Linked DNA regions of Rattus norvegicus. The protein of the gene in region 3 purifies or fractionates together with the protein of the main gene of each other region. This does not show direct contact. Links are inferred from orthologs where the notes say so. Each region holds a gene or a part of one and is shown on either strand. Other genes may lie near its edges. The genes, in order: Nat10, Nol10, Aatf and Ngdn.

What was found.
Region 1: the proteins of Aatf (region 3) and Nat10 purify together in Homo sapiens (affinity purification with mass spectrometry; 3 studies listed by BioGRID and IntAct, with this or other methods). This does not show direct contact. The link is inferred for Rattus norvegicus from reciprocal best matches to the Homo sapiens genes AATF and NAT10.
Region 2: the proteins of Aatf (region 3) and Nol10 purify together in Homo sapiens (affinity purification with mass spectrometry; 4 studies listed by BioGRID and IntAct, counting the BioPlex papers as one, with this or other methods). This does not show direct contact. The link is inferred for Rattus norvegicus from reciprocal best matches to the Homo sapiens genes AATF and NOL10.
Region 4: the proteins of Aatf (region 3) and Ngdn purify together in Homo sapiens (affinity purification with mass spectrometry; 3 studies listed by BioGRID and IntAct, with this or other methods). This does not show direct contact. The link is inferred for Rattus norvegicus from reciprocal best matches to the Homo sapiens genes AATF and NGDN.

Annotation. Positions count from the first base shown.
Region 1 is NC_086021.1:110,596,140-110,603,640, forward strand, and holds part of Nat10 (RNA cytidine acetyltransferase), read right to left. Parts: intron 6,030-7,501; 5' UTR 6,015-6,029; coding exon 5,907-6,014; intron 5,547-5,906; coding exon 5,455-5,546; intron 2,628-5,454; coding exon 2,456-2,627; intron 1,233-2,455; coding exon 1,110-1,232; intron 1-1,109. UniProt on the Homo sapiens protein: RNA cytidine acetyltransferase that catalyzes the formation of N(4)-acetylcytidine (ac4C) modification on mRNAs, 18S rRNA and tRNAs.
Region 2 is NC_086024.1:45,943,967-45,951,467, reverse strand, and holds part of Nol10 (nucleolar protein 10), read right to left. Parts: intron 2,820-7,501; coding exon 2,717-2,819; intron 1-2,716.
Region 3 is NC_086028.1:69,881,684-69,889,184, reverse strand, and holds part of Aatf (protein AATF), read left to right. Parts: intron 1-760; coding exon 761-949; intron 950-1,432; coding exon 1,433-1,522; intron 1,523-2,321; coding exon 2,322-2,537; intron 2,538-2,916; coding exon 2,917-3,054; intron 3,055-7,501. UniProt on the Homo sapiens protein: Part of the small subunit (SSU) processome, first precursor of the small eukaryotic ribosomal subunit.
Region 4 is NC_086033.1:32,456,443-32,464,585, forward strand, and holds the start of Ngdn (neuroguidin), read left to right. Parts: upstream 1-3,571; 5' UTR 3,572-3,622; coding exon 3,623-3,634; intron 3,635-3,675; exon of another isoform or gene 3,676-3,896; intron 3,897-4,192; coding exon 4,193-4,252; intron 4,253-4,890; coding exon 4,891-4,962; intron 4,963-7,855; coding exon 7,856-7,993; intron 7,994-8,143. UniProt on the Homo sapiens protein: Part of the small subunit (SSU) processome, first precursor of the small eukaryotic ribosomal subunit.

The DNA.
Region 1 (7,501 bases), on a different chromosome or scaffold from region 3:
CCGTCATCAGGTAGTGACACTATTTAAGAAGGATTAGGAAGTGTGGAAGAAATATGTCACTTTGAGGCTTCAAAAGCCCACACTAGGCCCAACCTCTGTCTGCCTACAGAATGTGAGCTCTCAGCTATTTCTCCAGCACCATGTATACTGTCATACCAGTATGTTCTCCGTCATAAAGGACTAACCCCTTATCTGTGAGCAAGCCCCCAGTTAAATGCTTTTGTAAGAGTTGCCTGGGTCATGGTGTCTCCACACAACAGAACAGTGACTGAGGCGATGATGCAAATGAGGGAGTGACAGGCAGAGCTGCCCAGTCTAGGAAGGGAAAGGAAAGAGGATGAAGAGCTGGAGGTCACTCTCATGCAGAGATTCAAGGGGAGCACATTCTGGAGGGAATATCAAGTACAAAAGCCCTAGGGTAAAGATGTCAGCCATGTCTGAAGGTATCAGAGTGGCTTTAGCGGCAAGTGACAGTGGGTGTGGGAATGACAGAAGGCAGCCTCAGAATCTGAAGAGAGTCCACCTCACCTGAAAACCCAGATGCCAGGGCCAATACAGCCCATTCCTGAGCCTCAAGGCTCTGGGGACACTGACCTGCCAATCCCAATGGAGCTGGTGAGTCAGTGGAGCCCCACTTATTAGCATGTCTTATTTGGGAAGGGCTCTACCTCTCCTCACAGCTTAAATTTCTCCAGACTTAACGTAGAACTAGCAGGTATGTTTCCCTCAGAAGATGACGGCTAGTAAGGAAGCCTGCACACAGTCCCTCTAAATGATGAGTTTAGCTCCAGGCCTGTGGTGGTACAAACCTACAATTCCAGCACAGGGGGGCTAGAACCGGGGGAGCAAGAGTTCAAAGCCAGCCCTGGCTGTAAAGTGAGATCCTGTGCCACAGAACAAACACAACAGAGCGGCATGGCATCTCAACCTCACCAGTGTGGAACCGTAACTCCCTGAAAGCAAACATGGTTCTCAGAAACTCCTCACAAGTGGAGAGGACCTGTCTGTTGTGGCGAGGACTTGGCTGCTGGACTTGACCGCTCACTGAAGGTGCTCACCAGCTACAGCAAAAGCAACTGCTTTGCATCAAGGTTAAGAAGCACTCTTACCATAGTCATTGTGTACAGCTGCTTAAGCGAGTTCATGGTCCGTAAGAGGATGACCACCAATCCACCACCTTCTACTGTTTCTACAGTTCTGGCCAACAAGTTTGGAGTTAATGCTTCAAAGTCCTAGAAAGAATCAAACCATAAAAAGACTTGTGACACAAACTCCAGGCTGCCTAACCAAGAGACAGCAGGATAGCAACGAGCGCTTCAGAGCACAGGCCCAAACTTCACCTCTCACACCTGCCCACCAGCAAACAAGGGTACCATAGGAGGCAGCCCATCCATCCCTGGAGTAGAAGATCTGGTTTTATAATCTAAGAAACTATTTCTAATCCAAAGCAAGTCTTCTAAACATCACTCATTCGCATGCAATTTCAGAAGCATCTTACTTGCCTTTTTTGGACAATTTCTAGACAACCTGAAAAAACTAAACTGTACAACATGGGGCACCAGCATCCCGATGACTGGTAAGTTGCTACAGGACACTGGGGTAAAAATGTTCTTTCGAGCTCCCCAGTGTGCTAGAAGCCAGCAGAGTTACTTACTAGAGATACAGAAAGAAAAACTGAAAACTCTTATTCTTGAGGACCACTCTAATTTTTAACTTATATTCCGTGAGATGTTTTCTAATTTACATAATTATGGTCATAATTCATATGTGAATATAACAAGTACATTTAAAATGTATGGATTTGTACACAGACATTTTATCATTTTTGGGGGGAGGGGGCCTTAAAAGGGGTGTCACAGATATTAGATAAAGTCAGATACCATCTAACATCCACCAAAACTGAAAAATGTTTGATTAACTTGTCTGACAAGAAAACAAGTATCAGTGGAGAATTTCACCAAGCTGTACTGAGGAAAGTAGGTGGTTCTTTAAGGCCAGAATAGGTGGGAGGGGTCACTTCTTTACTCAGAAGAGGGTATGAGTGGATAAGCAGGTCAGGGCTGCATAATTGACATCAGTGCTCACAGGCTGGGAGTCCTAGCTCCAACAAGGACCTAGATTCTAGAATGACTCCAAGTCCACAGTGCTCATGCATTGCTATTTGCTCGATGAAGGCCTGGCTGGTCTCAAACTCACAATTCTCCTGTCTCAGCACCCCAAGGCATGCTCCACTGGCCCAGAACTTACTATGTTGGACATGGTAGGCAGGAATCTGTGGTGGTGCAGTCCTCTACTTTCTTGTATCTCCAGTCAAGTGCAGAAAAAAAGCTTTTATAGGGTGAGTAACCCAGTTTCCTTTTCAAATAATTCCAGTAACAATGCTTGGGGTTTGGGGTGCTCACATGTGAGCCTTCGTCCTTACTGTACTCACTCTCATGGGGAAGGAGACACACACCTGGAGGACACACATGCCAAAAGTGTTGCCCAGAATCTTGTGGGTTTCATTGTAGTAGCAGTAGCGAATGTTTGTGGCTGCTACAAAAAGCTCAAAGGGGTCATCTTGCTTTATGTTCAAGGTCCCACTCTTTATCTTCTTCTGTAGCTGCCGCATTCTCTTCTTCCGATGACTGTAACACCACCATCCCAAGAAAGGCAATTAACAGGGGCAGAAGAGGCACAGTGATCCTCAGACCTGCAGAGCTAGTGGGGACTTAGAGGGGAAAGTGTGACAGTGGCTGTCTCCTTCACTTTAAGGGGTAAGGAAAGTGGAGGCACACTGGGATATGCTGGTTAGCATCTTGTAAAGGTGAAAGGAAAGAACCAACCCCACAAAGACATCCTTTCATCTACACACACACACACACACACACACACACACACACCTATACACACACCCACACACACAGCCCTACACCTACAGTCACACACCCACACACACACACACTAACTACTTACTCGTCTCTGTAACCTTCAGCAGACCACTTTAAAGATGGGTAACGGGCAGGGAAGCCTCATATTTGGCCACAAATGATCACCTTAAGTTTGAAACCAATATTCCCACTACTATTCTCCAAAGGGCCTGGGAAAGCTGGGGGTGCTATCAGGCTACTATATGTTTCCTAGACAGGGGTATATCTCCTCAGCCCTGGCTGAGGAAAAATGAACCACTGTTTTCAAATTTAATAGCTAGAACTAAGGCATTCCTTTGTGGGCCTCTACTTCCTGTGTGAACTGAGGCACACAGACTCGATTCTGGCTCCTCCCTTAAGCCCTTTTCTTTCATGGTGTTGTAAAAATGGAGGCTTGGGACAGGCAAGGAGATGTACACACAGATTCCCTACCCTCCTGCAGTTTTTGAGACATTGTCTCAACTCTATACCAGCCAACTCTCATCAATCCTCCACCCCAAGCTCCTGAGTGCCCATATGGTATTACACACAAGGGCCACTATCATGGAGACACAGAACAATTTAATACGATGAAACCAGGTGGGTTAAACTTGAAAACTTCCCAGAATACCAAGGATTACCTGACTCCACACAATCTCATACTTACCAAACCAAAAAAAAAAAACAGTCAAGATATCCCAAACAAAACTCTAACCTATGTAGCTAATTTTACCATCGTGTGGAAGGACATGAGAGATTCCTCAGAGGAAGCAAAGAAACAATTCCAGAAGGCTGTCGTCTGTCTTCCACACACATGCTGCAGCACTGCATGCCCATACTCACAAACACCTCTCTCTCTCCCTTCACCACACACACTCACAAACACAATACAACTTTAAAGGAAAAAATAGGGCCAGGCAGTCATAGACAACCTTTAATCCCAGCACTTGGGAGGTAGAGGCAGGTGGATCTTGAGTTCAAGGCCAGCCTGATCTACAGAGCAAGTTCCAGGACAGCCAGAACTACACAGACAAACCCTGTTGATAGATAGATAGATAGATAGATAGATAGATAGATAGATAGATAGATAGATAGATAGATAGATAGATAAGACAGACAGACAGACAGACAGATAATGAAAGAAAACATCTAAGAAAGCAGGCCTGGACAGGAACAGAAAAGGCAATCACACTGTCCTGAAGGAGAGTCTGGTTGAAAAGTGCTGCTTCAAGCAGACCAACACAGGAAGCAAGGGGGCTCAGGAGCTGATGCCAGGGGGTAGAAATGGCAGACTCAGCATAGGAGCCGGCAGGGACACCTGGCACAGGATGGGGCTATCGAGCTGGATGAGGGCCATCCAGAGAATGTGAGGTACTGGGCAGATAGGATAGGGAAGGTGAGAAGCTCAGGGAGTGGACTAAGTGCACAGGAGTCATAAAAGAAGGTTCCTCAGAGGGGTCCACAGAGTGGATTATCTGCCAAGGAGCACTGTCTACCTCATCTCAAACTCCTTCAGAGTTAAAGGAGAATTGCCAGGTTTCTACATGACTATGACTCACTATATTAACATGTGATGCCCCATTTGGGGTCATCTATGCACTTTCATATGGTTGGCCTTACACATAAAACTAAATATGTTTCTGCCAGAGAAACAGGAAGGAAAAAAAAGAGCTAGTGAGCTAGTTCACCATCATCACGAGGAAGCACAGAACAGATCTGCAGAGATGCAAGGCTGACAAGAAACAGATGCACTCTGGCCCAGACTACCTATCCCTAAGCAGAGCTGAAACCTTAACTCCTTAGGCCCTGAATTATCCTTTCTATTTCCAAGCATTCCCACGGAACCTACGGGTGTTTGCTTTGGAGTCCCTCTGCAAGTCTTCCTCCAAAATGTATTTGTTTATCTGTGTGCCTGTATTTGTGCCTATGTGAGTACATGCACACAGGCTCAGAGAGTACATGTACAGAGACTTGCATTTATGAAGCCCAGAGAGTACTGGACTCCTTGGAACTCAACCTGCAGGCTATGTGCAGGCAGCCGGCTTGTTGTGTGGCTGCTGGGATCTAAACTAGAGTCCTCATGATTGCACAGCAAGTACTCTTAATCACTGGACCATCTCTCCAGCCCCGCCACCAGAAGTCTTGACCAGTATAGCATCAGAAAATAAGAGGCTGGCTATGTAACTTAGTGGTAAAGCAAACACTAAGTACTGTGGTGAATACCCAGAACCACAAACCAAAGAGAGAGGGGGTAGGTGGTAAAAATCACCAACTGTCTAGTAACAGTGAACTGGTGTAAGGAGCTTTCTAAAGAGGAGAAACGGAGAAACACTGTTGTTACTAGAGGGATCAAATCTCTAGGAATGTCTATGAGCTCAAGGCCATCATGATCTTAGAAGCAAAAGCCAGATAGAAAAGGGGTGGCTAGGAAGTATAAAGGCTTCTATTCTAAGGGCAAACAGTGGCCTGAACAATAGAAGTAACCCTCAAGTACACTCGAGGGTTTTCTCCCTAATTTAACTGAGAAGTTTGAAAGCTGGGTGTGACATCCAAAGACAAGGCTTACCTGCTAAATCCCAGCTCTTTCTTGTAACACCACAGGACAGAGGGCCGAGCCTTCACAGTTGCTTTGGACAACATATGATGAAGAATAACCACCTGACAAGAAAAAAAAATCACAAAATCCCAGCGTCAAAGACAACGTAAGGACTGCCAGGCCCAAGACCTCATTGGAAACATAGCAGCTAACTTGCAAGGAAAACACCTAAGGTCACACATGTTTAACCTTGAGGCCAATGCAGCATGTGAGGATTCCAAGGATACTGGCTCATCTCTCTACCCATGAATCTTAGAGAATTTACCATTCCCAGGTACTGAACAAATGTCCCCACTACGGATTCTACCAGCGAAGAGATCATAATGGCAGTGTACTGAAACTTTAAAAGGCTTAGAAAACCCGCCAACCTCTTTGGGACAGGACAACAACAACTGAGGAAGCATTTACCAGGTCTTTCTTACCTGATCTTTTCCTCGATCTCCAACTACAACAAAAAGAGACCTCTGCCGCTCAGATACGCCATTCTCAATGAGAATTCGAATTCGGTTATCCACCTTCTTCCGATGCATGGTGAAAGACTATCACTAACACAGAAATAAAGATACAGATGAACCAAATACTAGAATGACATCCAAGTAAGTGGCCAAGGCCCATTTGTAATCCTAATTACAAAAATTACAAAATCTTAATCTTCAAACAATGCCACAGGGAAGACATTGATTTCAGTTTTATAATCAGGAAGCCAGAGAGGTGAAATGTCCGCAAGCAGGAAAGTCAGCAGAGTGCTTGTCCGATCCATCAAGGAGCTTATGAAAAATTAGGGGAGCTACAAACAGGATGATTCCTGTGAGTTGGAGGCCAGCCTGGCTTACATAGTAAGTTCCAGGGCAGCCAGGGCTACAGGGAGACCTTGCCTCAAGAAGGAGTAAAAAAAGAAAAGGACAGCATGCTAAAAGTAAGTAAAACCAAGAATGATTAAAGCATGGAATGATATCTCTATAGGCCCCAAAGAGTAGCAAGACAAGAGATTTTAAGAGTCTGATATATCCCAGGCTGGCCTTGAATTCACTATATAGTCCAAGATGTTATAGCCTAAAACTTCTGATCCTCCAGCCTCCACTTCCTAAGTACTAGGATTACAGGGAACTGCTCAAATTACAAATATATATCACCACAACAAGGTTTTAAGCTATGCTGGGAATCAAACCTAGGGCCTCATGCATGCTAGGCAAGCAAGCAGTCTGCCATCTGAGTAACACTGCTGGCCCATTTTGTACACATACAAAACATGGCGGGGGACTGGGGGGTGGTGAAACTTAAAAAAAAAAAAAGAACTAGAAAAAAATGTAACTTCTGAATATGGTGAATTTTATTTTGATGTTTGTCTTTTATGGTTTGGTTTCTTTAAAATTCACAGTGTGTGGTAAAATGGCTCGGCAGGGAAAGGTTCTTGTTGCTAAGCCCAATGACCTGAATTTGATCCTCAGAATCCACATGGCAAAAGATAAGAATTGCCAGGCAGTGGTGTGCATACAGGCAGATCTCCCAGTTCCAGGAGGGGGATCCAGTGGGGAGAACAGACTCCTCAATGTTCTTCTCTGACCTCCACCGTGGCCACGGTATACAGCACACAACACACCACATACACAATTAAAACATAATAAAAATTCAAATGCACATGTTACTTATAAAGTGAGAGAAAAAACATATTTCTGATACAATGTTTCTTTGGGTGAGAAGCCACACTAATGGCTCTGTATCCGTGATTTTAGAAAGTACTATCTGATTATTGGGTATATAGTAGTAAAAAATTTGCCTATCTATGGGGGACCCGACTCAATTTCTCCAGCATCCAGTAAAACACAAACATTATCTAATTACCCATAACAAATACACCAAAAAAAAAAAAAAATTGAGAAAAATCAATCACATTCCCATGGTATTAGAATGTTAGGCTATGTGATTTTAAAATCCCAGCACCTGCTGCACTCTAAACAAAACCCCCTTCCCTAAACATGGGCTTTAGCAGGTCTTAATATAAAACACTATCACAACA
Region 2 (7,501 bases), on a different chromosome or scaffold from region 3:
CCTGTCGTTACAGTGTGAAGCAGGACTGTGGGGGCAGTTCTGGAAGAGGCCTCTATTGTTCTGTAGACAAAGCTCCCCACACACAAGGTCTATCATTAGCCTCTCTCCCCAAGGCTGCACTGGAAGACCATACCACCGTGTCACCCACTCATCAAGATTTACAGGGCAATTAGCTCTTTTCCAAGTCAGCTTTTCTTCTTTCTCCTTGTTCCTGTGCAGCTGCAGCCTGAAGCCCTTGTGGGGAAGGGGAGAGGACAGATGCTAGCTGATGACATAAGCAACAGCTCTGATTCCAGCGTTAGCACACGCAGCCTCCCCGTGAACTCAACGGGCACTGCAGAAAGCACCTCAATTTGCCTCAATGTATCATATACAATGAATATAGAACAAAAAGAAACTTCTATAAACAAATACACAAATATATCTTTAAACATATATTTAACACTGATAAACTAAATGATTAAGAGCATGCCAATCAAGTAATACAACTCATAAATCAATCATTAATTGACATAGTATATTCTCCCAAAGGGTTTTGATTCAGCGCTGGTGTCACTTCAAGCAAGTCTCAGGGTATCTCCTCATCTTTTCGTTTTACCACAAATTTACAAAGTGACATTCAACTTTGTGACTTCTGACTTAACAGTTCTGTGGGGTGGGAATGACTGAGCCGTCTCACTGCCAGAGCTGGGGTCTGTGACCAGCATTCCTCCACTGAGCTATCTCCCCAGCTCTGATACAAAAGCTTCGAGCAGGACAGTTATAAACCTAGTGAATGTTATTAGAAGTCACTGCCAGTCTTGCTGAGTATGGGGTGGAGTTTAGCTGCAGAGTGTTACCTACATATGCACGGACCTGGAGAAACAATAGTAAGCATCAGAAGGAGAGAAAAAAAAGAGAGTGTGAGGGATTAATTAGCATGAGGGGGTGTGCAAGTCCTCTCCTGTCAAGTTTTCCAACTTCGCTGAAAGAACTGACCAGATGAGCAGCCACTCAGACAGCTCAGGGCTCCTGCTTGTCTCATTCTGGGAGACAAGTGGCTATGATTATAGAATGAGAGCAGTGCTGCACTACGGTCTGTTGGACAGAGCCACGCAGAGACACTGTGGGTCTGTTCCTAGAGACGGCTCCTGTTTCAAAGGAGACATAAACGTGTTCCTTATAGATTACAGACAGTAAAGCTGACAATAAGCCTTGTGTTAACAAGTTATACTCTGCTCATTTGATTTCAGAAAAAAAGCCTAACACATCAAGTAGTTTTAGCGTAAAAATTCTGACCTATTTAAGAGAATAAATCACAGACTGACAGAACTGCAAGAACTCCACTGCTAAGTGTATGTTCCTGTGTGAAACACAGAGCTCCTTCTGTGTATATTGTTAAAAAGTGAAGAACATACACTTAAAAAGAAAACCTTGGGGGATTTTACAGCATGTAAGTGACATGTCAGTTTAGAGAAGGAGCCATAGGGGATGGCAATTGTCTTTGCAGTCGCCCTTTTTACTTGATGACTTCATTGAGGGATATGACTGGGAAGGAAAAAATTATCTTTTTGAGAAAAGAGACCATGTTGTGTTATTTGTTAGCTAATGGCAGATACTTAAGCAACTTAGTCCCTCCCACAATATGCAAAAGGCATTAGGACTACATCGTGCTTCAGAAATGGCTCTTTGCCTGGCAGTGGTGGTGCTCACCTGCAATTCCAGGAGGCAGAGGCAGGCGGGTCTCGAGGCTAACCTGGTCTACAGAGTGAGTTCCAGGACAGCCAGGACTATATACAGAGACCCTGTCTCAAAACAGCAGAAACAACAAAACAAATCCAAAACAAACAAATGAGGAAGGAAGGAAGGAAGGGGAAGAGGGAGAGAGAAAGAAGAAGAAAGAAGAAAAGGATCTTCAAGACAATTTAAAACAGATTACTACTGACTGAGAAATCACTCTGGGAAATGCCTGTATTTGGGCAAGCCAGATGGGACCATCGCAAAGCTAGTCACTTCACAGTCCTTTGTAGGTAAGTACTGGGTGATGGACAGAGCTCAGACAGAGCTCTTGTGAAGCTGGACTGCACAATGGGCCACAGAGACCCAGAGGAACATAGGTTGCCAAGCAGGGCTGACTCCAGCATGAGGCCTTTCTCCCATGAATACTCTTCTGTAGCTGTCACCCAGCTGGGGCTCTGGCTATAGGGAAGCACTGGGGTAGGAAACAAGGCTTCCTCAATGAGAGAAGCTTGGGAGAGTGGCCCCAAAGCCATATGCATACCTAGAGCTTTCCTGTGTGGATTAAAATAAAATTGTGTGTAGGGAACCATTTTTAGCTATACAGTCACAAAGGATGTGGGGAGCGGGTGTGGCGGCAGTCCCAAAATGGCGCCCGGGACTGCAGTTAAGTCTCGTGACTAGCACCTGACTTCCTCATACACCTGAAACTAGCCATGTTCATTGTGAGAGCTGTGCAGGTGCACCATGACGCAAGATCAGGTCATGTGACGTGGACCTATGAACTGAGATTACACAGTCTGGACTGAGGAGGCGGAGTTGAGGGAGGATATAAGGGAGTGTGCTGGGGGGGGGGGGAGGAAGAAAGGGAGAAGAAAAGAAAAGAGAGATTGCTGCTTGCATGCAGAAAGAAAGGTTCCTGAATAAACTGCTTTGAGAAGAACGTTGTGGTGTTGCTCCTTTCAGCGGAGACGGAGGTGACAATTGTGAAACTACTTACCCTCTTGAGAGTAAATGTCAACTGCTTGCTGCCAACAGTGGTGTCTGACACACTCAAGGTCCCATGTTTTGCTTCAAGTTTCAAGCGATCTTCCAGAGTTTTGCTGTAGGAGGTTAAAAGAATGACATATTCATTAACATGCTTTGATTGACTATTTGGGATAGGTTTAATCAGGGCTGATCACATGAACACGTCTTTCATGCACATGGTAAACAGTAACACTCATTTAACAGAGCCCAGAGAGTCAGCTGTCCTCAAACTGTCATTTTCCATAAGCGCACTGTAAAAACAGTGGCTGACACAAACACTAATTAATTCAATGGTTATGGACCTCAACCTCAATGGCTGCCACTGAGCTCACTGGATTATATTTCTTTTTTTTTTCTTTTTTTTTCTTTTTTTTGGTTCTTTTTTTCGGAGCTGGGGACCGAACCCAGGGCCTTGCCCTTCCTAGGTAAGCACTCTACCACTGAGCTAAATCCCCAGCCCCTGGATTATATTTCTAAAACCAAAATGCAAACAGTGTTTCTGGCCTGTGGTCTCCTGGGATAGTCTGCAGTGATGGTGATTCTTGGTCACTCTGTATCTAAACCATTGAGGTGGGTGGACATGCGGCCCCTCGTTCACTTCCTACAAGCACCTGGGTGGAAGCTGAGTTCCTGTCACAGGGGTCCCCTGACACTTCTGGTTTTCTACATCAGCCTTGGTCAATCCCCATCTTCTGCATGGACAACTGAACACAAATCCCTCTGTTCACACTGACAGGGAACAGAAACAATTTGAATGTTGGGTAAATTCCACCTGATACCTTTTCCATTGAGACATCTGCTGGTATCTTCAGGTTTGACACTCCACTCCAGAGCGCACGCCCGTACTGAGAGGAAGACTTTGTACTCTATAGTGCAAGCTGGTTTTAAACTCTAGGCAAGCTACTTCAGCCTTCCTAGTTCTGGGACTACAGGAATGCATATGCCCATCCGGGACTGATATCCCATTCAAATTCCAATAGCACTGATACTTAAAACTTACCTGCATGTTACTGAAATGTTTTTATCATAAGCCAGGACATTTAGATCCCCACCCCACTAACTTGTTTTGGAGATCTGCCTGCTCCAGGATGGCTGCAATGCTTGCCTACCCCCAGATGAGATCCTAGAGCACAGGAGAAGGAACCAGAAAGGAAGAGCGCCATTTGCCTTGCAGTTCTGTTTCTTCCCTCTGCAAATCAAGGAGTGCACAAGAACAAAATAAAGCCCAAGGACCTTCCATCTTCACCTTCCCTTGAGGGACCCAAAAACCTGATAGAACTAGGAGCAGGGGCGACTGTGAGAGACATCCTCTGTCCTCTGTTCCCCAGAATGATCTCTGTAACTAATTATGAGTGGATCCCCACTCTTGAGGAAGCTGCTACACAGTGAAGTTCCTTTGCGATTTTGAAACCAATGTTTGATGTTCACACCATGAGAAGCTCACTTCACTTTATAGCTAGCTATCTGTAGCATGCTAAGCACACCTTCGTTGCACAGTCTGAGGCATAAGTGGTTAGCATAAAAGTGGCGCTCTTTTCTAGGCGATAACGTTATTAAGAAGCACTTTTAAAGTACTTTTCATCTTCAAAGTTCTTTACAGACTAACTAATTAATCCTTTCAACATCCCTGAGACAGAAGTATTTATCCTTTATAGATGGCAAAAGGGAGGTAAATGTTAAATGACTTGCCCCAGGCAGTATGTGGATCAAGTCTAAAACCAGGGTTCCAGGAGGGAGTTTACTTTTCAGGTGTGTGTGAGACCATGGATTTACACCTCTCTTCAGAAGACGTGTCCATCAAGTGGTCCTAGTGACAAGCTCCCACATGACAAACTGGAAGGAATTAAAATCCAGTTGCAATGTTTTAAATAACTCAAAAGTGAGGCATGAGCTAACTGCAGTGCAAACTGTCCACCTAGGCAGATTCCTTAGCCTGTTCATGGCTGCTCTCAATGTGAGCTTCAAAGTTAACAGGAATTCTGAACTATGGAGCCACTGAGACAAAGTGGGCCACAGAGAACCTTAATTTGGGAAGTAAAAGACTTTTCAAGTCAATTGTGGGAAATTACTACTCTTTAAGAACGCCCTGACTTCCTCCACAGTAGGGCACATAACTGCCTTCTCCCAATGTTCTCTCCTCCTGTGCCTGTAAAAACTTGTTCTGTCTAGGCTGCTCAGAGAGGCAAGCTGAGTGTTAGGACGAGCCATGGCAGAAGATCAGAGACAGCTGGGGATGGTGTGCAGACTTCTACATTAAAGCAAGCTCCCCTCCTCTCCCTTTGAAAGTCAGTGTGTGGCTGCCACCCGGCAGGTCATCGTCTGTTGCTTGAGTGTGACTGGTCAGAGAGAACTGCAGCAGCAGCTGGTTTCCCTTCTTACCTCAGGCTCTCCTTATCCCCCACCCCAGGCTTCAGGTCTGGGGCGGAAGGTGACAACACATGACATTTTCTAGTTGGTACAATTATGTATTTCAGGGAAAAAATGTAAACAGGACAAGTTAATAAAAACATGATGGTGACTACAAAGAGAAGACAGAGAAATAAAGATTAGAAGCTGAGACACCCAGCTATCCAGGGTAGAACAGGAAGGGAAGAGCCTACACGATTAGTAAGGATTCCTTAATATGAAAAAGGAACTGGGCATAAACTACAAGGGGAAAAAAATCAAATGAGATATTTATTAGCTGCCCCAGGAAAGGAGAATGACTTACTTCTTTGAGGCTTAAAATACACACTTTAAAATTTCTTTAATTAGCAACATTTAATTAAAAAATCACTCCTCAACCAGTTTTTATTAATCCCTCTGCAGGGGAGGGCAAGTTAAAGAGCAGAAGGCAGTATACCTCACTGTTCCTCAGGACAGACTCTAGTTACAAGGCAAATGCAATCCAAATATAAGATGTAAACAGTGCTTCAGTGTTTAAAAGTGCAATGTTAGGTATTCCTAAATAACCAACTTTGGGGGCTCATTGGTTAAGAGCATTTTCTGTCCTTGACGGGGACCCAAGTCTGACTCCCAGCACCCACATCAGCAGCTCACATCTAACACTGCAGTTCCAGGGTACCTGACACTCTCTAGCCCCTATAGGTATGCACATAATCATGTGCATAAACTCAGGTAAGCGCATGTACATATATACTAAGTAAGTCTTTTAAGTAACTGACAAAATTTTCTCTTTCCTATAAAAGTTTCAATGCTCTCAATATTACTAGTTTGCAAATGGAGCTTCAAAAGCTCCAGTGAGGGTGATTAATTTAAGCAGCCAAAAAAAGTGTGATGCTCTCAGCACACTTAACCAAACAGATGTATGGCTTTTATCTGACTCACAAACATATTTTCCCTGGGATTCTACTTCTTACTAAACATATCTTCATACTAAACATATCTTCAGCACACTGAAGTCTTTCACATCACACGAAAGGGCTAGCATCTTTCAAATCAACACATACCACAAGCCCAGACTTAGGTCTCCACTTGTCTATGGGATACACTGGGAAGACATAGGCTCTGTGGAGTTCATAAGCTGAAAACCCAGCTCTATACTTTGAATGTCAGATTTGCTTCACTTCACAGGGAACATGCTAGACACTTCAAGGCTACCCTCGACTGTTTCAGTCTGCTTTTGGATTTAAATCAGTAGCCAGTGTTATAGTTGGTGTCTGCCTTCCCCCCACCCTTGCATAGCCTTTTGGGTGGTAACTTGGCTCTGGGTCTGCCAGCTCCACTAGCCTTTGGCCTTGGGTATGGTCTAGGCACCTGGACCTTTTTGGGGGTGAGGGGTGGTGGCAGCTGTCTTCTCAGACTCTCTGACAGTCTGAGTACTTGGGAGTACAGTCTCTCCCATACCACTGTTTTAAAGCTGAGATACTTTGCTATGGGTTTCTGAACAGGACCCTTTCTGCTTCTATGACTTAATTCTACAATAAACACACAGTATTGTTATATAAAGTGTTTGTATTGAGGGAAGGACTGATGAAGACAGATGTGATGATGTTAATCTCAGCTGGACAGTTCTCCATGGCTTTCCAGGGCCCTGTGGGACCTGTCCCCACCCCACTGAGTGCTCAATACTATACCTTTCAAAAGGCCAGTTCCAACAAGACTCTCACAAACAGTTTCTTGAGTTTTCCCTCAATCAAGCCCCTTTCTTTTCTCTCTCTTCCACACCTCTCTGACTCAGAGGATATCTGCTAGTATAGGAGTAACAGATATGTGTCCTTCCTTCCTGTCCTCAGGGTCTAGGAGGGTCTTAGCTCATTCATACCAGGCACTCCTTGGATATTTGATGAATGGATAGTGGGTGAATAACTCAGAAATACAGTTAGCAGGGTACAAAGCATGAAAGTTTGTATTGAAAAAGGAACTGGGCATAAACTACTACTATTTATCTAAAACCTGCTGACTACTGACTGTTTATTTTCTCTGTTACAAAAATAATTTTCAAGCTGGGCAAGTCTGAGTGAATATTTCAACACAATACATCTCATTTTGATGGTGTCTTTTCTGGATTGCCTTGTGGTGACTCATGGGATAAACATAAGGAGTTATTTCAGTTCTCTGAAGGATAATGGTTCAATGCTTTACTAAGCAGTATTAAAATCTGCAAGCCCAGGATTTGCCACAATAATCCAGTCAAGACTAGCACTCAGGAAAATGCTTTTGCCAATGCTAGCCAGCCCCACTGGGATAGCCCTTTAAGGAGCAAGCACTTAGCTCTTCTCAAAGGGACTCTTACTCACTGAGAGTGCTGTCCTGC
Region 3 (7,501 bases):
GGGAGCCGACTGGCACTTATTTAGGAAGCCCTTTCTGGTATTACCTTCGAAAGGAGAAAGAAGCCTGATGAGTTTCAGGTTTTTCGTGTGTTTGAAACTGACTGCTTCTAAAAACTTGCTTCGAGAATGAAAAAGATTATCTGATGCTGTTGAACCGTGTTTATTTAGGACTTAAGACATTTGTCCACATTCTGATGACAGACTGATTCTCCATAAACCTATTCTGAGACTGGCTGGGAGTAATTGTGCTTTAGACGTGGGTCAGGGAGGTGAGGAAGACAACTGGATGTGTGTCATGATTATCTCTAGCACTCGATAACTGTCATATATTGAGGAAGAATTTAGGACCTTGGGCATGTAGCCGATATACTTGATGCACTGGATTTAACCTTCAGAACCTCTGAAAAATAAAAAAAAATAAAATAAAAAAATAAAACACCATGAAAAAGGAAGGAAGAATCAGACTAGATTTATAGCATCCAAGGCGTAAAAAGATGTCTACTAAGCAGGGAGTTAGCTTTCTGTTTAGAAACGGAAAGCAGCATGACAGCAGTCTCCCTAGGAACCAGAAGTAAACTCCCAATTCCAGTAAGTTAGCGGAGATGTGTATAGGGGACATGAATCAAGGGCTGGGGATGTAGCCCAGTAGTAAGAGTACTCACCTAGCACAAGAAGATGGGATGGGGGTTGAAATGGCTTAATTGGGTTCCTAGTAAAGTTTTTTCTAACCTAAGATTCTATTCTCCTCCCTCCTCAACAGCCACTAGAGCCAGAGTGATTGACAGGTTTGATGAAGGGGAAGAGGAAGAAGATGATCTGCCAGTGAGTAGTATTAGAAAGTTGGCACCGGTCTCCCTCTTGGACACCGACAAAAGGTATTCTGGCAAGACCACTTCTCGGAAAGCTTGGAAAGAAGACCATTGGGACCAGACTCTGCCAAGTTCATCGGGTGAGTAGACATATTCACCCCAAACTCTGGGCTTAGTTGTGTGTGGTTAAACTGTTTTGTTTCTGGAAGTCTCTGTGTCTCTACTTATTTTAGGAAAGACCATTGAGTTGGCACTAGGAAGGGCCTTAGGGGTCAGCGTTTCACTTTAAAAAGAATCCTAAAGCCCAGTTAAGCTTTTTATCTCATTTCATTTGACTTTGTTTCCCGTTAGCATTTTAGAGATGGTAGATGGTTCAGCTGAATAGAGCACAATAACATGTTTGCTTTTTCATATAAGATCCCATAGACTAGGGGTTGGGGATTTAGCTCAGTGGTAGAGCACTTGCCTAGGAAGCGCAAGGCCCTGGGTTCGGTTCCCAGCTCTGAAAAAAAGAAAAAAAAAAAAAAAAAAAAAAGAAGATCCCATAGACTAATTGAAATGAAAGATGTGGCCTGGTATGTTTCTCTAGGTAATCCCTTCTCCTTTTTTTCCTTATGATTTAGACAATGAAATACCTGATGAAGGAGGCTCTGAAGCTGGGGATTCAGAGGGCCTGGAGGAGCTCTCAGAAGATGTTGAGGAAGACTTGGAAGGTGAGAATGAGGATAGTTTTTATCTCAGAATTAGGGGAGACTGAAGCAGGGGGATCAGGAGTTCAAGGCCAGCCTGAGCTACACCTGACATCCTGTCTCAAAGGAACAAACAAATAAAAAGAAACCTAGAACTCAAAGTTACCAACTTCAGGTTAATGTCTCACCCTAAAATGAGGGGGAGAATGTGCAATGCATAACGGGTATTGGCAGGGCTCTGTGGTAAAAAAAGTTGACATGTGCGTGGTGCTTTTTATATTTTGACTTTTTGTTTTTCAGGTCTTGTATTGGTTTCCTGTGTGTTAGTTACTCATGAAACTGACCTCTTGTCATTGTAAATGAAAACATAATGCTTCCATCTTTCCTGAGAAAGAATCAGCTTATGGTTTTAAGCAGTAGTGCATTTCTCAAGGTGGAAGAAGTCTCTGGATATGGATACTGAGAGGACGCCATTATTTTAGGGAGGTCAGCGGAGCTTTGTTGAGGGTCCAGTGATAATGTCTGAGGAACTTCTTTCAGGTTATGATAAGTGCGATTCAGTCCCTGATGTAGTTCTAAGGCTTTGTCTTCAGAGTGTGTTTCAGGCTACCAGGACTCATGCTCTGTCTGTCTTTGTTTCCGTTAGCATTTTAGAGATGGCAGATGACGTGGTAGATATGTAGTAAGTGTGTTCAGCTGAATAGAGCACAATAACATGTTTGCTCTTCCATATAAGATCCCACAGACTAATTGAAATGAAAGACGTGGCCTGGTATGTTTCTTTAGGTAACTCCCTTACCCTTTTAAATCCCTTATGATTTAGACAATGAAATACCTGATGAAGGAGGCTCTGAAGATGGGGATTCAGAGGGCCTGGAGGAGGAGATCTCAGAAGATGTTGAGGAAGACTTAGAAGGTGAGGATGAGGAAGACAGAGAAGAGGACAGGAACAGTGAAGATGACGGCGTGGTGATGGCCTTCTCCGGTGTTAAAGTTTCTGAGGAAGTGGAAAAAGGAAGAGCTGTGAAGAACCAGATAGGTGCGTGTGTGCTTTTGCTGCTTGCTTGCTTTTCAGAGTTTCTGCATCCGTCTGCTCTTTAGTTGTGGTTGTTCTGTCTCTCCAGTGTCCGTCCAGTTAGTCTGTGACCAGAGGCCTGCATCCCAGTTCCTGTATAGCTGCTTAGCAGGTTCTGCACTAATCCTTGTGGGAGGTTGAAGAGGAGAGTGTTGTCTCCTCTTGTCAACGTTTCCTCTCTCATAGCAAGAGAGAGAGTTTATTTTCTAGAGCGAGGAATGTTTGTATAGCACGAAACTCATCGAGTATGCTGCTTAGAAATTGGTGTTCTTGTCCTTCAGAGCCCAGCCCAGAGAGACCTTCTGACCCTGACACGGGGTTTTCTTTTTACTTTTTTCTTCAGCGTTGTGGGACCAGCTCTTGGAAGGAAGGATCAAACTACAAAAAGCTCTCTTGACTACCAATCAATTGCCTCAACCAGATGTTTTCCCTGTCTTCAAGGACAAAGGTGGCCCAGAATTTGCCAGTGCTCTGAAAAATAGTAAGAATACTCATATCATTTTGGGGTATACTGGATTGGATGTAAAAAATAAAAACTTTTTTTTTTTTAATTTTAGGTATAGTATACTATAGAATATCGGTTTTAGTTCTTCGGTTACATTTGAGCTTATCTAAAAAGCTGAATTATCAACCCTTCTTCTAAAAATAGCAATATAACTTATTATCAGATGAAGACAACTGTAAAGTGTATTGGGCATATGAGCCATGTCTGTTTTATGATATCACTTGCCAGCCTTCTCTGGCTTTTTGAGTTAATTCTTAAAGTTTTATTGTTCTTTTTGATTTTTTTGAGACAGGGTTTCTCTGTGTAGCCATGGCAGGCCTGGAATTTGATCTGTGGACCAGGCATGCCTTGAACTCATATCTTCCTGCTCCTTGACTGGAGTGCTAGGATTAAAGGAGTATGCCACCACTCTGGATGAGTTACTTCTTAAAGTATTGGGAAACCTACAGATGTAGAACAAAAGGGAGTGAGAGATTGAGTAGTTAAACTCAGTCCTTATGCTGGTTGTAACAGATTCTTAAAGGATGCATTCCTCTGTCAGGAGGGCTTTGGAACAAGTTAAATGATGTTATTCCTATCTTTCCTTTGGATAACAAAGAGAAAAGAGACTGACTGCAGGGGAAGAATTATTTTGGAAGAGAATTATTGCGCTATAAACTCAAAGAATTCTAGAGAAAAAGAATCTAGAGGTTACTTGGTTCCTAATTCCTTCACTTTACAGATGAGAAAACCAGAGATAGTGGCTCACTCAAAGAGTTTGTTCATTAACAAAAGGTGTAAAACTCCAGCTTTTTTCCCCTTAAACCAGGAGTCCCCCTCACACTATGCTGTCTCCTGTGTATCCAGTGGCACCAGAGTACTGGGGCACAGGGAAATGTGAGTCTTGGGCAGCATGGCTACCCTAACTTGTATGCTGAGAAGTTGCTGTCCTGGTTATTTTGGAGACTAAGGCAGGAGTATCCTTTTAGCCTAGGATTTAAGGGCATGCTGAGCAACCCAAACAAAAACAAAACAAAAAGCCCCCATGAAACCCAAAATGTAACCTTTTATAGTAGGGAGTTCAATTTGGAACAGCATTGAGGACATCTGGTCTGGTATCGCTTTTAAATAGAATCATTTGAGCACAATTCAGGATGCATGTGCAACTTTGAGGATAGAAATTTCATTTCTCTTCCTTCCTTCCTTCCTTCCTTCCTTCCTTCCTTCCTTCCTTCCTTCCTTCCTTCCTTCCTTCCTTTCTTTCTTTCAGACAGGGTCTTACTATGTAGACCTGCCTGGCCTCACAGAGATCTACTTTCTATCTCCCCACTGCTAAGATTAAAAGGCACAGGCTACCACACCTGGCACAGCATTTCTTTTGTAGACTAAGCAGTTAGAAATGACTTTCTGTGGACAGTTTTTAGTTTTGTGGTCTGTCATATTCATACTTGAAATTTGTTTTCTGTGAAATCTGGGCAGCCTTTTCAGGATCAGAGTGTGTATTGTGAGACTGATCTCTCCTGACTTCTTTTTTTCCTCCCTAAATACATGATATAATTTTTTTTTTTAGGTTTCTGGAGTACTTCTTGGCTATTTTTAGTGTCCTAGTATCCTCATTTCTGAGATGCCTTTGGATGAACTCTAAGCTGCTCTAGAGCAAATGTTTTAAACATTTTATAGTAAGAGCTTTAACATTTTGTTACTTATTAGTCTTCTTTCCTGAATCTTTATGAATATTCACTAAAATACAGGTATTTCTGGATTAGCATTGCATACTCGATTTCTTTATCTTTATCTTCGAGTAGCTTGCATGTTACTTTAATTCTGCTTTGTGACACTTCTGGCCTTTCTAATTCTTTGCACTTACCCAGTTGCCTTGTCCTGGTGAGCATCTATCACTCTTAAGTCTGTTAGTCTGGCACATGTAGGTTGTAGTAGAAGAGAGAAGGACGGACAGAGTGTTGTTTGCTACTACATTCCGAGAGGATGGGGTGGGGGGCTCTAATAACCAGACTTTCCATGCAACTGAAGGGTAGGGGGGATCTAATAACCAGACTTTCCATGCAACTGAAGGGTGGGGGGGATCTAATAACCACACTTTCCATGCAACTGAAGGGTGGGGGGGATCTAATAACCAGACTTTCCATGCAACTGAAGGGTGGGGGGGATCTAATAACCACACTTTCCATGCAACTGAAGGGTGGGGGGATCTAATAACCACACTTTCCATGCAACTGAAGGGTGGGGGGGATCTAATAACCACACTTTCCATGCAACTGAAGGGTGGGGGGGATCTAATAACCAGACTTTCCATGCAACTGAAGGGTGGGGGGATCTAATAACCAGACTTTCCATGCAACTGAAGGGTGGGGGGGATCTAATAACCAGACTTTCCATGCAACTGAAGGGTGGGGGGATCTAATAACCACACTTTCCATGCAACTGAAGGGTGGGGGGATCTAATAACCACACTTTCCATGCAACTGAAGGGTGGGGGGGATCTAATAACCACACTTTCCATGCAACTGAAGGGTGGGGGGATCTAATAACCAGACTTTCCATGCAACTGAAGGGTGGGGGGGATCTAATAACCAGACTTTCCATGCAACTGAAGGGTGGGGGGGATCTAATAACCAGACTTTCCATGCAACTGAAGGGTGGGGGGATCTAATAACCACACTTTCCATGCAACTGAAGGGTGGGGGGGATCTAATAACCACACTTTCCATGCAACTGAAGGGTGGGGGGGATCTAATAACCAGACTTTCCATGCAACTGAAGGGTGGGGGGATCTAATAACCAGACTTTCCATGCAACTGAAGGGTGGGGGGATCTAATAACCAGACTTTCCATGCAACTGAAGGGTGGGGGGATCTAATAACCACACTTTCCATGCAACTGAAGGCGGCTGCTTCTTGTTTGCCTCCATCTTATGACGTGAGACTTAATATGTTACATACACGCCTGTCTGGATGTTTTTCAACACTATCGGGGCATATTCTTGGTAACTAGTGTAAATAGTTAGTATGAAACAGGCCAAATCTATACCAATTCACTTTGCTTTTGATTCAGTAGGTTTTTGTTTGTTTTTCTGAGACAAAGTCTTCTGTCTGGCTCAGGTGCTGTGTAAATCAGTCTGGTTCAAACTTAGACCTACCTGCCCTTGCATCCAGACTTGGGATTAAAGGTATGCTTAGTCAGAACAGTTATAGTTAGATTTCCAGGGTTTGTTGTTCAGTTTTAGACAGTTCTCATGTACCTTAACCTGGCTTTGGACTAGCTGTGTAGTAGAAGATAACCCTGAACTCCTAATTCTCTTGCTTCCACCAGCGTTAAATAATGCTGGATTATTTACCTTTTTATTTATTTATTTATTTAGAGACAGTGTCTCATGTATTCATGTTGTCCTCTACTTTGCTGTGTAGTTAAGGATGGCCTTGGACTTCTGATCTTCCTGCCTCCTTCTCTAGTGCTAGGGGTAGAGTCATGTGTGCTGCCATGTCTAGAGTACAAGTACCCTAACACCCTGCCTGGTTAGACACTATCTCAGCAGTTGATTAACTCTATGGTCTTAGGCAGGTTACTTCACAGTAAGATAGGACTAATATGGTTGTGAGAATTAAAGGCCACAATCAATGTAAAACATTGTAGTTACACAGTGTCTGGCATACATTCTTCCGTAAGAACTAGGTACCAGAGTTATCTTTTTCTGTTGATAGACATTTGGCAATGTTCAACTATGTGAACATGTATTTTTACCATCTTCTTTTTTTTTTAAGATTTATTATTTTTCTATTTTATATGAATACACTGTAGCTGTCTTCAGACACACCAGAAGAGGGCATTGGATCCTATTACAGATGGTTGTGAGCCACCATGTGGTTGCTGGGAATTGATCTCAGGACCTCTGGAAGAGCAGTCAGTGCTCTTAACCGCTGAGCCATCTCTCCAGCCCCTACCATCTTCTTACTAGTATTTAGAATCCCTGTGTAGTTTAATCTAATTATCGTCTAGTGTTATAGTCTACTAATACTTGTAAAACCTACCTCTTATGATGCTATAGAAAGGTAGGTTGATAGTGATTTCCTTATTGCAGAAGCATTTAGCAAAGTATTTTCCTTTTTAATATTGGTTATTAGTGTGTGTGTGTGTGTGTGTGTGTGTGTGTGTGTGTGTGTGTGTAAAAACATGCAAGCTGGAGCAAACAAGCACAAGTGTGTACATTAGACATCCCAAGATGGAAGTCAGAGAATTTTGTGGGGTTCCTTGTCTCTTACCTTAATGTGGGTTCTAAGAATAGATTTTAGCTCATTAGACTTGAAATGAAAGTACTTTTACCTGCTGTTCCATCTCACTGGTCCAACCTTGAATATGTTTTTGGGGTTTTGGTGACCCCAAGTACACTGTTTGAGTTCTCCTACCTGTCTGATCTCTTCATAAGTTC
Region 4 (8,143 bases), on a different chromosome or scaffold from region 3:
TGTTCTGGGCTTTGTCCTGCTCCCAAATTCATAAGGAAATGCTTTTAATTGAAGGCTTCTCTACCATGAGCCCAGGAACTTGAAGCAATATAGAATCAACCCGTTTCTAAAATTAAAAATACTTGTTTTTTAATGCAGAGCACAGCTGTGGATCCCCATCCTACCTGATACATCTACAGTGTAGCTCCCATACCCAAGGCCAGAGCTGGGGAGAGGGGGTGTGTCTTAGTTAGGATTACTGTTGCTAGGATGAAAGATCATGGCCAAAAGCAAGGTGGGAGGAACTTTTTCTTTTCTTTCTTCCTTTTTTTTATTTTATTTTATTTTTTTATTTTGGCTTACACTTCCACATCATAGCCCATCATTGAAGAAAGTCAGGACAGGAACTCAAACAGGGCAGGAACCTGGAGGCAGGAGCTGGTGCAGAGGCCATGGAGGGGTGCTGCTTACTGGCTTGTTCATCACAGCTTACTCAACCTGTTTTCTTACAAAACCCAGCCACCAGCCCAGGGATGGCACCACCCAGGATGGACGGGGCCCTCCCACATCAATCACCAATTAAGAAAATGCCCTACAGCTGGGTCTTAGGGAGGCATTTTCTCCACTGAAGTTCCCTCCTTTCAGATGACTCTAGCCTGTGTTAAGTTGACATGATGCTGGCCAGCACGGGGTTGGAAGATTGAAGAAGGTAAGAGCCATTGGACCAGGGCATTTGCTAGAAGATGGTGTCTTCTACACCTGACAGGTTCCCTGCACTGTGAAATCTTGACAATATGGCTGTCTAAACAAGGCCAGTGATGACAACACCAATTGTTACCAGGTTATTCAATCCAAGTGCTCACCCCGAAACACACATGCTCTGGTTTGTTTCCTATTGCTGTGATGAACGCCTTGACCAGCAGCAACTAGGGGAAGAAATGGTTTATTTCATCTCAGGACTCTAAGGTCACAGTGCACCACTGAGGGAAGTTAGGGCAGGAACTCAAGCAGGAACCTGAAGGCAGGGACTAGAACAGAGACTATGGAGGAATGATGTGGACTGGCTTGATTCGTGGCTTGTTCATCTTGTTTTCTTTTTTTTTTTTTTTTCTTTTTTCGGAGCTGGGGACCGAACCCAGGGCCTTGCGGTTGCTAGGCAAGCGCTCTACCACTGAGCTAAATCCCCAACCCCATCTTGTTTTCTTATATAACCCAGGACCACCTGATATGTCCCCACTCCCACGTCTCTCATTATTCAGACTTGAGTGCAGGCCTATCTTACGAAGGCATTTTCTTAATGGAGGCTTCCTCTTTCCAGATAACCCTATGTGTCGTTGATAAAAAAAAAACTAACCGGCACAACATATCCCTAAACACATATGCAACACTGAATGGACTCAGCACATTGCATTTATATAGATCTATCTATCTATCTATCTATCTATCTATCTATCTATCTATCTATCTATCTACATACAGGTGCATGCATGTGCAAGTGCGTGTGCAAGTGTGTGTGTAAAACAAGAAGAGATCATGATGTTGAAATGGAGAGGGGTGGACACAGGAGCAGTTGGAAGAGGGAGACTATGGGGTGAAATTATGTAAATATGTGCTCATGAAATTTTCAAAAATGGTAAAAATGATAATAATTAAAATCGCCATTAAATTTGTATTCCTAAAAGAAAGCTTTTTTTTTTCTTTGCTCAGTATATACTTGTAAATGCTCTGAGTACTTACCATCGTGTGGTGCTGTTGAAAACAACCAAAGTCAAAACAGATTTAATGATCTTGTGTTCTTGCTTGCTGGTTGAATCTGAAAGAACTTTATAAAGATTTATTGTATTGTTAGCTCTAATATTTCTGTAACATATGAGGTGATTGGTATTTTTTATTTTTCCCTTCTTCATTTTTTTTTTTTATCTTTACCTAATATGTGTTGGTGTGAGGATATCAGATCCCCTAGAACTGGAGTTACAGACAGTTCTATGCTGTCATGTAGGTGTTGGGAACTGAACTCAGGACCTCTGGAAGAGCAGTCAGTGCTCTTAACCACTGAGCCATCTCTCCAGCCCCTGTAATAGGACTTAATGCCTTCTTCTGGTGTGTCTGAAGACAGTGACAGTGTACTCATATACATAAAATAACATGCAGTTTTATTTATTTTCTCAGATATTGTAATCATTTGTCCATAACACGTGACAAACTTCAAGTTCCAAAGAAAGCAAAATCTTGTTTGTGTCAGGAAGAGTAGTGTTAAAACAGAGGTTTCACAAGCAAATCCTGATACACAGAAAGTGCTGACAAGATGGCACTTGCTTGCCTACCAGCTTGACCAACTGAGTTCTATTTCCAGGACTCACATAGTAGAAAGAGATCCAACTCCCATTTGTTACATATAATTACTTTTCTGTATGCCTTTGTCTGTTTATAAGGAAGTCAGAAGAAACTAAAATCCCCCTGGGGCTGGAGTTAAATGTAGTTGTGAACTGCCTTGTCTGGGTGCGGGGAATGGAACGCTGGCCATCATGACCACTGAGCCATCGCTCTGGCTCTCTTTTCATTTTGTTTATTGAGACAAGATCTCACAATGTAGACCAGACTGGCTTCAAACTCCTGGAGATCTGCATGTCTCTTGACTAAAGAGATCTAGGATTAAAGGCAAAGCCACACTTTAGATTTCCCGTCTCAAGTCTGCTCTTCTATTGCGCAAGGAAAATCCGAGCCAGCACCACCTTTCTAGGCTGTATTGTGTAATGCAGACGGACGATGGGAGTTGTTACTCCCACCTAATCCACAAACCGTGAGAGGCGAGGGAGTGGGCGTGTTGGACGATACTGAGCAAAGATGAAGGGGATAAAGGAAATATGCACAGCCTGGATTTTAACCCAGTTCTGCAGTGGACGAATGGAGCAGTGAGGAATGCACGCAGGTTGAGCCGGTTCCTCGCCTATCGATTTTTCCCACGAGACGAGTGCTGGGCGCACTGCGGCCTTTGCGCAGCATCCTCGGCGTACACGAGGAGGGTGGGCCAGTGATGCGGCCGACGGCTTCCGAATCGTGGCTTCTGGCTCCTCTATCGTAACCATCCAAATCACTGATGAAAAGGGCTCCATTGTCGTACAAGGACGGTCACAGGACTAGGAAAGGGGTACTTGGAAGTTCAAGGGGCAATGGCGGGCCAGTAACCCGACTGCATCAGAGAATAGCCGGAAGCTGCCACCCAGCGGTCTGTTTTGGTACTACACGGAAAACCCTGTGAGAAGACTGTGACTCTGCGGCATCTGGGAGCCAATGAGCTCTCAGGCTGCACAACTAATTTCTTTTTTCTATTGGTTTCTCTAGCTGTCAATCCATCATTTATGCAGTAGTTATTGGGAGTAGCATCAATCATTTTCTGTAAACCACGAATCACATGCTTCTGTCGCCGCCCATCTTTACGCTTTAAGCACGCCTCTGCGTCTGACACATTTAGGCAGTTTCTTTATTCCATTGGCTAGATGAGGTCCCGCCTTTCTGATTAGCGGAAATGAAAGATCTCTTATTTCCATTGGCTGAAATTTGTAAATTGTGATTGTCTATCAAAACTATGAACTCAGGTTAGCTCCCAGGAAGTTCGGGCCCGGAAAGGGTGGGCTTTGCGAAGATGGAGGCTCCGGTGAGTTCTGTCTCGTTGCTTCTTCCCGGAAAGGAAGGGATATCTGGTTGTTTCCTTTCGCCTCCTTGGAACGAGGCAAACAATTAGCAGCATGGAAGAGTAGTGATGAAAGTTGTTAAAGGGATGCGCCTGCCCTGACAATCAATAGCACATGTTAGATGAGAGACGCTGCATGTTGGCTGGTTCCGGACAGGAGGCCAAACCCCCAAAATTACTCTTCAGAATGAGCTTTGTTGGGAGAGCCTCGTGACCCGGCCTTAAGGTGGGAGAATGTTCCGAGAACATTAGCAGAAATAGCGTCACGTACAGTGTGGCGGGGGCTCGGAGCAAAGACAGCCGCGGGGTTTGGCGCTCAAGTCTCCGGTCTTTTCCAGTAAATTGGGGGGTGTGGTGAGAGGAGACTGGCTTTGAGCCGAGGCTGCCTATACCTGTTCAGGAAAAACGACCCAAAGGCTCGAGTGTTTTAAAGGAAAGGAGGGAGTTTCATAGGCGATACGTTCTGCCATCTTCAACACCTAAAGTAAGAAATTGACCCCTTCACCTGTCCCCTATCTGTAGGAGGTGCTGGAATCAGAGGTGTCAAGTTCGATAACACTTTTGAAAAATCTCCAGGAGCAGGTGAGTATTGTCTCCTTTTATCTCTCTCTCTCTCTCTCTCTCTCTCTCTCTCTCTCTCTCATCTATCTATCAATCATCTATCTATCTATCTATCCATTCATTCACTTAACATCCTGATCGCAGCCCCCTCCCCAGAAAACTTTTTTTTTAAGTTATACCCAAACTCCTTTATCTAAAAAAATAACAGAAAACAGATTGGCAATAGTGACATATCGCTATAAGTGCCACTTAATATGCATTTAGATAGTTTGATGTTTTTTAAGTCCTATTGGTACAGATAAAATTACACTCCTCAGCCTTGTTTTTGTAATGGCCCACACCTTTAAACTCAGCACTTGGGAGGCAGAGGCTGGTGGCTCTCCAGTGAGTTCAAGGTCAGCCCAATCTGTATAATGCGTTCCAGAACAGTCCTCATCACCACTGCCCCACTCCTCATCCCCTTCTCTTGGTTTCTTAATGATCCCCTCCCCCAGCTTTAGAAAGCAGTATGAAGTTTTTCTCTGCCTCTTGGAGCGTGGTGTTCGTCGACAGCATTTCAGTTGATTTTTAGGTGGCATTACCTAGTGTTTCTTCTTCCTTGTTCCCAAACATTGCTTGTGGTCGGGTGAACTGTTCAGATTGAATGTGGCTAATTTCAGGTGATGGCTGTGACAGCACAAGTACAAGCACTGACAGCAAAAGTTCGAGCTGGAGCATATTCTACAGAGAAGGTAAGGGTTCTCGATCAGGGTGGAGGGCCAGCTCAGTGGTTAAGATAGCTTGCCACCCTTCCAGGGAACCTGGGTTTGGTTCCCAGCACTCAGGTCTACATGACGGGATCCCATACATGTATGGTGTGCATATGTACAAACACGTAAATAAGAGTAAATCTTAAAGGTGGGGGGGACCTTGAAAAGGGAATATCTCCTCATATGATGTGCTTGGTGGTTTGGGTTTGTTTTTATTCTAGTAGGTTTGCTGTGTGGTAAATGTCCTGAGAGTTAGAGCTTCACCTAAATGTGAGTAATGTGTGGGTTCTGTACAGGATTTGGGCAAGGACGCAGACCAGAGGGCTAGATAGGAATAGTGGCAGCCACTTTACAGAAGTCAGGAGTGATATGCCAGCCAAGCAGAGAAAGTAACTGGACTTTGAGAATAAATATGAGATACTCACTATTGCAGTGTTGTGGGGGAGTAGATGATTCTGTGGACGGATATACATGCATTTTGGTTGTGTGTGTGATGTGGGTAAACATAAGAATGGAGCCGTCACTCCGACGTAGGACAGCTGAGGAGTTGCTCCTTTGTTTTCTTGTGGTCTTGATGTTAATTTGGGCCGAGGTGGCTTTATAGACAGACGTCCCCAGCTTTGTTTTCTGTCACTTCAGTTACCTGAGGTTAACAGCAGTCTGAAAATAATAACTGTAAAGTTCTAGCCCACCTCTTTAAGTTTTAAATAGTGTATTTTTTTTTTTCGGAGCTGGGGACCGAACCCAGGGCCTTGCGCTTCCTAGGTAAGCGCTCTACCACTGAGCTAAATCCCCAGCCCCTTAAATAGTGTATTTTAGTGTGTAATTGAGTTACTCGCTATTGCTAGCTGCCGTTAATCTCTTACACTAGGATTGTAAATTATGGTTTATCATTTGTATAAGTGCGTAGGAAGAACGGTGTATCTAGGATTCAGTTCTCTGCCATTGCAAACATTCGTTGGCACTTTTGGAGTGCATCACTTGTGGATAAAAATGGCACTAATCTGTGATGAGAAGCCATTGACTGAAAGATGCATCCTAATTTGAGATCCTAAACTGTGAAGATGACGAATCTGAAAATGAGATGCAGTAGCTTCTTCTCTTGCTTGAACCTTTTTTCCCTTTTCATTTTGTTTTGTTTGTTTAGACAGGAGCATGCTATGAAACACAGGCTGGCCTTGAACTTATGACCTTACTCTTCCACCTTTCAAGGGCTAGGATTTTAGATTCTCTGATGTGCAGTGAAATAGGCTACCTCTCAAATGAAAATTTAAAGAAAAAAAATAAAAATATTTTAGAACATTTTGGGGATTATTTGTGTCATTAGAGGACAACCCTTGACGTTTATAAAGTGCTTTACAGGTTACAGAAGTGCTTTCTTGTTATCTTGTTTCAAAACATTCTTAGGGCAGTGCTGGAATTCTGTTACTTTTTACATATGAGAAGTTTACAGTCTCAAGTTTAAGTGACATAACCAATATCTGACTACCAAATGGGTAAATCAAAATTTAAACTCAACTTGGCAGTTTTAAATTCCATTTCCCATCCTGGGACGTACAGTAGGGCTGACATAAAGAGCTAAGCATGTTTAAGAGATACCCAGGACTCAGGCCATGGAGTTTCACTGAGTATGACTAGCATTTGAATTTTTGCTGTGTAATTTTTGGCCAAAGTTTTTAACCCGTCATACATACATTTTCCCAGAGCTGTGGACTGTCGGTATCATTTTGTGCAGACACAAGACTTTCTCTTATTTCATAACTGCAAATTATTACTGTATTTTGTTTGAAAGTCGGTGTATTTGCTTAATTTATTTCTTACCTGTGTACGTATCAACTGGGGTTAGGGATTGAATCCTTCCATGTTTTCCGATGAGCACTCTGCTTTTGGAGTGACCCGCTTGTTCAAAAGGAACTTTTTCATCATACAAGCACTGTTTCCCTGGTATCCTCCTCTTTCTAGACAGTTAATTGAGTGTTGTCTTCGGGCTTTTCCTGCATATAAAAGTGTGCAGCTAGCAAGACAGCTGAGGGAGTGAGGCAGTGTGTGCAAGCCTGAGACTTGTTTCAGCCCTGAAACCCACCTGATGGTAGAAAAAGAAAACCCGCTCCACCGTGCCCTCTGACCTCTATGTGTTCGGGGTTGGATGCGTGTGCTCACAAATGCATTCACGTCTTCCATGACGATAGATTTTTTAGAAGGTGTGTGTATCACACAGCCCCACTGGAACTGTATTATAACCACTTTCTACAACTTCTATTGACCTTTAGTTCCCTATCAGTGTATATAAATCACTTGTCTTATCTATATTGTGATAGATCTAAAATGGTTAAAACTTGGGAGGGCCTGTCCATGAGACAAGCCCAAGGGTGCTGCTGATATGCACGGTGTCCACGTTCAGAGTCACGTGGACTCAGATGTCAGAAGCTCTGAGACTGCAGCACTCTTAGTCGTTGGGCGACTTTGGATGCTTCTGGAGAACCCGCCCATATCCATGGGAATGCGTCTCAAGACCTCCTATGGGTGTCGAGACTGTGCTGTGTGTGTCCCTCTGTGGTCTGCAGTCTTCTGCACAGCACCAGGGTTTATCTTCCTTTCCACATTTTATGCCCTTGCGCTGCTTTTCGGCACGGCTCTCACGCATATGTCGGGGATGGAAAATAGGCCTTTCCTGGAACAAAAGCTCTCTAATAACTGACAATTGAGCTGGGGTGACTGCTAAGTGACTGACAGCATTCGCATTGTGGGCACAGCAGGTAACGGGATGATTCGGGTAACATGGACTGGCTGGGGAAGACATGATCCCGGTATTGCCTTAGCTGCTCCTCCTGATTCGTTGGCTGAGACTAAGTCTGTCTCTCACTGTTTACCTCAGGGTCTGAGCCTCTTGGAAGTGAAAGACCAGCTGTTGCTCATGTACCTCATGGACCTGAGCCACCTCATCCTGGACAAGGCCTCTGGGGGCTCTCTGCAGGGACACCCTGCAGTTCTGAGGCTGGTGGAGATTCGCACGGTATGACTTTCTAAGGCTCGCACTCCAGGGCTCTTGTGGGAATGAGTGGTCTTCTTTCTAAGTAGGGAGGCGTTTTCATCCACATTGGCTCATTTGTGAATGTTTCAGTTGTCTTATCCGGAACAAGGCATGGATGCCCGTGTGTGCCTG